Canis lupus familiaris: one gene and its partner. The protein of the gene in region 1 interacts with the protein of each later gene in a biochemical or structural test. Links are inferred from orthologs where the notes say so. Each region holds a gene or a part of one and is shown in the gene's direction. Other genes may lie near its edges.

Region 1 (3,740 bases):
AGAGATGGGCTTTCAACAGGTTTCTCTGTGTCCATCCCTCTGGAGATGATGAGTTCCACGACCATAAATCACCGTCCACTTGGTTCTCCAGGCTCACCCCAGAGCCTAGTACCAAGGAGGTACCAGGAAGCCTCCGTGGAATGGGAGTGTGAGTACCCAGTACCAGAAGCCTGTCCAGGTGAGGAGTGAAGGCTTGGCGGGCCTGGAGTCCCAGGTCAGAGGTTGCCCCCTGGGTGGTGTGGGGAAGGGGAGGAGGGGGCTTGGCGGGGAGGAGCGAGTGCAGACCCGAATCTGGGGTGCCCACGTGGTGCCCAGGTGAGGTCCTACAAACAAACGCCGGTGTGGGCCACGTGGAGGCAACCAGGCAGCGACACGACCGCTGAGGAGCGGGCAGGGAGGGTGTTCAGAGGCGCTAATCCGGATCAAGTGCAGCAGTTATGACGACCCACGGAGGTGTGGACTCAAAAATGAAGATCGTGGGGCAGCCCGGGTGGCTCAGCGGTTTAGCGCCACCTTCGGCCCAGGGCCTGATCCTGGGGACCCGGGATCGAGTCCCACGTCGGGCTCCCTGCATGGAACCTGCTTCTCTCTCTGCCTGTGTCTCTGCCTCTCTCTCTCTCTCTCTCTCTCTCTCTGTCTCTCATGAGTAAATAAATAAAATCTTAAAACAAAAAACAAAACAAAAATGAAGATCGTGGGCGACGTGGGCAAACGCAGGGTCCTCGTCCCGGCCAAAGAGTCAACCGGAGCAGAGGCAACCGCCAGCTAGTGTAGACAGCGGGATCTTGGGTTCGGCACGGGGAGGAGGGCGGCCGGGGCCAGGGAACCAGCGGGGCCGGACCGTCCTCGTGACGCTGGCTCCGCGGCTCAAACCTCTCGGACTCGAGCTCGCCCCGGGTCCCGCAGCGCGCGTCCGCGCGGACTGCCGGAGTTTCGGTTGCGTGAGTCTGGGATGGGGCAGTCCCCACGGCCCGCCTTCGCAGCGGGCTCCCGGGCGCGGCGGCGGAGGGGCCCCCCCGGGGAGCGCGGCCCCGGGAGCCCACCTCGCCGAGGGGCCAGAGCGCGGGGCCCGCAGCGCGCCGCCTCCCGTTGCCGGGCAGAGCCGGGCCGCGCGCGCTTCCATTGGCCGCAGGTGGGCCGCGCCCCGCCCGACAGGTAGACCGCCCCGCGCCGAGCCATTGGGTCGCGGCCGCGGGGACCCCCGGGGATTGGCCCAGGTGGCGGCCCCGCCTCGCCCTCATTGGCCGCAGGTGCCACCGCCCCCGCCCCGGGACCGCCCGTCCCGCCGATTGGCCGCCCGCCGGGCCCCGGGTCGGCCATATTCGGACCCTCCGCACCCCCCGCCCCCGGGCCTGGCGCCGGGAGTCCGTGCGCTCCCGTCGCGCGCCCCCGCGGGCCGAGCCCCCCGCCCGCCCGCCGTCCAGGTTCCGCGGAGGTGGCCGGCCCCGCGCCCTGGGGCCCCGCGCCGCGCGCGCCCTTCCGCGTTCCGCCGCCGGCCCCATCCTGGCGCCCCGGCCGGCCGCCGGGTGCCCATGGCCCGCGCGCTGACGGCTGACGGCTGACGGCTGACCGCGGCCGGCCGAGCGCGCCATGCCCAGCAGGACCGGCCCCAAGATGCACGGGAGCGGCTGCCGCGTCCGCCTGAAGGCGCACCACAGCGGGTGAGCGCGCCCGCCGTCGGGGCCCGAGCGGCCGCCGCTGCGCGCGGGAGGGAGGGGGCGCCCCGGGCGGGCGGGGTCGCCGGTGGGGGCCGCGCCGGGCCCTCGCTCCCCGGGTCCGTGCGGCGCTGGCGCGGCGCTGCCACTGCCTCTGCGAAGGTGGCCGGACGTGAAGGCCACGGACCTGTGAGCACTGAAGTTTTTGTCACATGAAAACCGCCGGCCGAGCTGTAAAAATCCGGGTTTCCTAGGCGTTTCCCAGTTTACCCGGCCGGAGGGCTCGGCGGCACGATCCCGGGGAAGGTGAGGGGCACCGGGCAGCCCGCGGGCGCGCCCACTGGGGCGGGGCGGGGCGGGGCGGGGGCCCCCTAAGTCCCTAGGCGCCGCTCTGTTGGAGCCGATCTTTCGGACTCTGATCCGCTCCGCGCCCGCGCGGCGCCCTGGACTCGATGTGCCCGCGGTAAAATGGGGCGAGCGGGCACCGCTCAGGGGTCAGAGGCCGGGCGCGCCGGGCCACGCCCGGGAGCGCGCACCCTCCGCCGCCGCGGGGCAGCCCTGCTGGTGGTGCGGGGGGTGGCGCGGCGCCCGCGGCCCGGCCGGGATCCGGCCTCAGCCCCCAGCGCTCGGGGGCAGCGGAAACCCTGCTGCTGCGGCTGCTTGACGCCCGTGGTCTCCCCAGAGGTGCGCCTCCTGCTGCATCCTCCAGATTGAGGAGGAGCCTGGGGCTCTTGACTCGGTGAGGGCACCTCTTTTGGGGTCTCAGGTCACACCTGTCCTGTGCCTTCTGCCATGGTCATCTGGGTCACCTGGCAGAGTGGGTGACAGGGCTCTGGGGAGGAGTGATTTCTGGGGGGACCGTGGCCAGCCCACCTGAAGAGGTCTGCCTGTGGACTCATGCAGGGCCAGAACAGGTTGGCTCTCTGGCTGGTGAACCCGGTGGAAAGCCTGTCCCCATATCTGACAGTCCTCTTCCCAGCCAGGAACTGTGGGATTGAGCAATAAGCCACTTTGTGAAAAATCAGAGTTGGTCCTCAGGGTGAGGAAGTCCACACCCCAGCCGCTTGGCCCGGGGTGGGTGGAGATGGGACCCCCCACCCCCCAGCCCCCCAGCCTGCCCCCAGGCTGGGCTCAAGGAAGCAGTGTCAGGCACTGGGTGGAGGGGTGGGGGCAGGCAAAGTGGACTGGAGCCTGGGAGTTCTGGAGGGAGCCTGCTGCCCCCAGCCCTGCCCCCTACTTTGGCCCCTGGAGAGTGCTTTGGTTACTGCCAGTAATGTGACCTGTTGGGTTTGGTTCCTGGGCTGATGAGGCGTCCACTCATCCTGTTCTCTTCCTCATCCCCTCCCTCTTCCTCCTCCTCCTCCCACACTCTTCCTTTCTCCCTTGGTGGTAGGTAGTACCTGGACTGTACTGAGGTTCCTGCCTTACCCCTGCTCCCCACTCCCTCCTGCTGCCCCTGCCCTGGTCCCTCCCCCAAGGGGCTCACTTATCCAGGCCTCCAGGGTCCTGGTACTCCGGATGGACTATGCTGCCGCCTGGCTGCTGGGAGGTTGTTTTGGACAGCGGGGCCACAACAGAAGGTCAGACCCATTGAAGATGTCATTGTTAAAAATAGGGAGCCCCCAAGTTGGCCTTTGGAGGATGTGCCGTCACCAGGGTCTGAGTGGGGTCCAAGCAGGATGCAGCAGTACCGTGTTTTGAGGGTATTTCCAGGTAATGAATGTACCATGGAGGTGGAGACCCTGCTTTGCCAGATTGAGTCTCAGCCCTTGTCTAACTAAGCTCACAGAAACAACCACATGGGGGTCTTCCTCTTTCCAGCTCCAGTCTGGTCTGCTGTTCACACCATCAGCTTTGGGGGAAGGTCTGATGAAGCCAGTGGGCTTGAACTGGACGCACTGTCCACCCCACCTGTACCCCTCCTATGTGACCTTTTGAGTGGAATTTGAACTTGATGCCTGAGCAAGTGCTTGCCCGGCTTCCACAGTCCATGCTTTCTGATACCCCCACTTCTCCATCTAGGCACATCTAGGCACAGGATAGATCTTTCCTTTCTGTGCTGGGGCATCCATGAGACTGGTCAGT
Region 2 (3,740 bases), on another chromosome or scaffold:
CTCTGCAGGTGGGGGGGGGGGGGCACTGGAGGGTCTCCTCCTCACTTCCCTGGCGCGGCCAGTACTGTTTTAAACAGCCTCCCTGCGAGAAGGAACCGCGCTCTGGGGCATTTAAAACAGAGGGTTGTCTTTTATCAAGGACGGAGTTCTATCGCCCCACGGAGAAAAGAACATTGTCCAGAGGCTGCCGTTGGTGGAAACAGCAAACGGCGAAGAAACGGCTGGAGGAGGGAGAAGACTTCGCGAGCAGAGCCTAACGCAAGCCCTGGGAGGCCGATCCGAAGTCCTGCGCGCGGCCATGCACCCTGGGCCTCCGCCCACTTCCCCTCCCTCGCGGCGCCCTCTCGACCCCCTGGGACCCGCGGACGAAACCGAGCCCGCGGAGCCCCGATGCTCTCCCCCAGTAACTGTTGCAGAGGCGGGAGAACTTTTATTCCGTAGCCAGAGTTGCAGACGGACTCCCGAAGCACCCAGCCGGGCGGTGGAGGGGAGCCTCTGCAACTGCAGCCCCCAAAGCGGACTGCGGCGGGGGCGGGCGCGAAGCCAGCGGCACCTCCGCGCCCCGGGGCCCCGCGGGGCAGCGCGGTCCCACCCCCAGCCCGGCGCGCCCTCGCCCGACCCGGCCCTCGGGCGCGCGCCTGCGCCTGCGCTTGCGCAAAACGCCCCCGCCCCAGCGCCTCTCCAGGTGCGCTCGCGCTTCCGGCCGGCCTTCCCGAGGCGGAAACACCAGAGCCCGCGCATGCGCCTTCCAGCTCTCCTGCTAGGTCCGGGGAGGGGGGCCCAAGGCTTCAGGTGATCCCGCCCCTCCCTCGCAGCGCGGGACCAATCGCGAGGCGGTAGGCGGGATTTTCGCGGAGGCGGCCCGCCCACACGCTCGCGAGGCGGGTTTCGATTGGCTGGCGGCGCGGGCGCAGGTGCGCGCTTCCTATTGGGTGTGGGCGGAGCGCGAGCCGCCGAGGCTTCTGCCGAGGCTGCAGGTGAGCGCGCGCGCGCCGCGGCTCCCTCCCGGGCTCGGGTGCGCGCGCGCGGGCCGGCGGGGGAGGCGGCCGGGAGCGAGCTCGCGGCGCCCGTCGCCTGTGCTCCGCCCCCTCCGCCGTCGCGGCCGCCGCCGAGGCCCGGAGGGAGGGAGTCGCGTCCCCGCCCGCCGCGCAGCCAGTCGGACCCTCGGTGCCGCCGCGAGCAGCCGGCCGAGCGGAGCTCCGCGCCCAGAAGCCGAGTCGCGGCCGCCGCTCTGCAGGTGCCGGTGCGGAGGCGCCCGGGCCGCAGCCGCGTCCCCGGCCCCGGCCCCGTCCCGCCGGCCGCGACTCCCCGCGCTCCCGAGGGGCGGCCCGGCCGCAGGAGGCCGCCGCGGGGCCCGGCCTCAGCATGAACCGCAGCCACCGGCACGGGGCGGGCAGCGGCTGCCTGGGCACCATGGAGGTGAAGAGCAAGGTGCGCGGGCCCGGGGCCGGCGGGGGCGGGGGCGGGGGGCCGGGGCTGCCCGCTGGCTGCGGCCGCGGGGCGTGCGGGGCTGCCCGGTGCACTCGCCGAGAAGCGGGCGAGGGTGGGGCCTTGCGTTTGCTCCCGGCCCAGGTGGGAAGGCCCGCGGAGCCCTTGCCCTCCTGGGGTCTCAGCCCGGGGCGGGGATGGCAGGCGTCTGAGCGCAGTGTGGGCGAAGGCTTGGGGACGTTGTAGCTCCCGGCCTGTGAGTAGCAGGTATTGGAAACACGCGCGGTCACAAAATGTTACCCCTTCCCGTGGTCCAGGGGTGCATCGAGCGGTGAGACGGCGAGCCCAGGGCCCTGAAGAGCCCTTTGAAAGTTGGCTTTGCTTCCTGCTAGGGATTTTTCCAGCACTCCCTTTGGTATGCGTCCTATTTATAAGAATTAACACTATCACCTTTCGTTTGAGTAGCCCTTTACAGTTTGAGGCTGGATGCTCTCTTCATTCCATCGTGCTGCCTTTTCACATCAAGTGTTTTCCTTCCTGACCGACGGTATGCCAGCCTGCTGAAAATTCCGTCCATATCCACTGAATTCCTAAATTGCAAGGCTCCCCGAGCAGGGGAGTCTGTAGGGATTAGTTAGAGAATGCTTTCCAAAGGGGGTTTCGAGCTGGAATTTGAAGGTGATCGGCAACCACAGCAGCATTTTCAGCAAGCATTTTGTGAGTTGAAGAGCCAAAGGAGCTCAGATAATCTAGTTTGATTCTCTTGAGAAAACGGAGGGGTCAGAAAGGTTATGACTTCGCCAGGCTCTGCTTTTATGACAAAACCTGGAAGGCTTTTTACAGATAACTTCTAGACTCTGTAGAACAAACGTGTTTTTGAGAACATTAAAAACAGTTAACAAAACCAAGACACAAGAATGGGAGAACAGTACGAGCAGATCAGCTTCAAAAATAACGAAACACCATTGAGTGTAAGACTACAGAGGGCAAATCCAAAATCAGGGAGTGGTTTTGAGTGAAGTGGAGTAAGAAAAGCTCCCCGGAGCCTGGGGGTGGAATGGTTTTATCTAGAGCTGATAAGCAAAGTTCTGTGAGTTGCTGGGAACTGAGATCTTCACATCAAGAGTATCTACATTCATTTTAAACATCGTTTGAAAATGTTATTTGTGACCTCTGGAGCAGGATAGGCAAGTGGGTTCACAGAAACCGTTCTGCTTAATAAGAATAGAAATGTAATTATAGCAATTTAAGGACTGTGTTTTTTCTTTCCTGTGCCCTGCACAGAATCACTAGAGCAAATTGAAGGGACATGGCTTGAGCTAAGGGTTAAGATGACTCCAAATATACAGGATTTTTCCTCGAGCGGTATAGCAGCGGTAGTGGTTCTGTGCCCACTGGTTGAACTTTCTCAGGCATTTCTGCCATAAATCTAGTTTGCGTCTGTGGGGGTTGAGGTTAAGAAAAGAAAAACACTTATGATATTGCATAATCTTAAAATTCAGTTTGTGGTCCTAATCTTGGTAACAAGTCTTGAACTTTTTATCGTAGGAAAAAAATGAGTAGAGAGTCTAGGTGCACCGATAAATACAATCAAATGGTAATTTATCTCCTGGACTAGAAACCTGGAGCACTTTTGGGACTGGAATTTCAGGCTTTCTGCCCTTTCTCTTCTCTCAACTGACCTGTGAATCTTTCCCACACTTACATCTGTACTACACGTTGTATATTTGAGCTGCCATGCTGCACTCGTAGTGAACCATGTCTCTTAAATAGAATCGAGGCATTCTGAGGACCTGCACCAAATGAGGTGTGGTTCCTCTTGTTGTTCTAGATCTTGCTGAATAGACACAATATTAGGTACTGTTTTTAGCATCTGTGACACTGTTTTAAATAGATATTGTTGAGACATTTATTTTTAGTGGATTAAATGAAACACTTGTCATCTTTATCATTTAAAAAGTATTTAGACAGATGTTTGAAACAATATTTCTCTTTGTCCCTGCCTTGGTGATATCACAGCTTTTTTCAAAACTGATTGTCGGGAAGTTGTAACCACAGCCAGGTAACGTGCAGATCCACATTTCAAGATCTCTTTTTCTTCTGCATAGAAAACAGTGTCAACTGTATCATCTGAGCAGAGCTGGGGAAGTTCTTAATAATGAAGGTGATATCCCTCAGTAACCTTGGAACAGTCTTTGGGCCGTACATTTTCTACTTATTATTCATGGGCAAACAGCATTAAAATTAACTTTGCATTTCTCGAATGTACCAACAGATGCTGGGAGAAGGCCACATCCTGGGTGGCCAGGACA

What was found. The genes of interacting proteins can lie anywhere in the genome.
Region 2: the proteins of PRKCZ (region 1) and PARD6B form a complex in vitro, tested with the Homo sapiens proteins (2 studies listed by BioGRID). The link is inferred for Canis lupus familiaris from reciprocal best matches to the Homo sapiens genes PRKCZ and PARD6B.

Annotation. Positions count from the first base shown.
Region 1 is NC_049226.1:57,486,842-57,490,581, forward strand, and holds the start of PRKCZ (protein kinase C zeta type), read left to right. Parts: upstream 1-1,525; 5' UTR 1,526-1,590; coding exon 1,591-1,661; intron 1,662-1,822; exon of another isoform or gene 1,823-1,961; intron 1,962-3,158; exon of another isoform or gene 3,159-3,173; coding exon of another isoform or gene 3,174-3,235; intron 3,236-3,740. UniProt on the Homo sapiens protein: Calcium- and diacylglycerol-independent serine/threonine-protein kinase that functions in phosphatidylinositol 3-kinase (PI3K) pathway and mitogen-activated protein (MAP) kinase cascade, and is involved in NF-kappa-B activation, mitogenic signaling, cell proliferation, cell polarity, inflammatory response and maintenance of long-term potentiation (LTP).
Region 2 is NC_049245.1:37,729,177-37,732,916, forward strand, and holds the start of PARD6B (partitioning defective 6 homolog beta), read left to right. Parts: upstream 1-1,303; 5' UTR 1,304-1,365; coding exon 1,366-1,431; intron 1,432-3,740. UniProt on the Homo sapiens protein: Adapter protein involved in asymmetrical cell division and cell polarization processes. Probably involved in formation of epithelial tight junctions.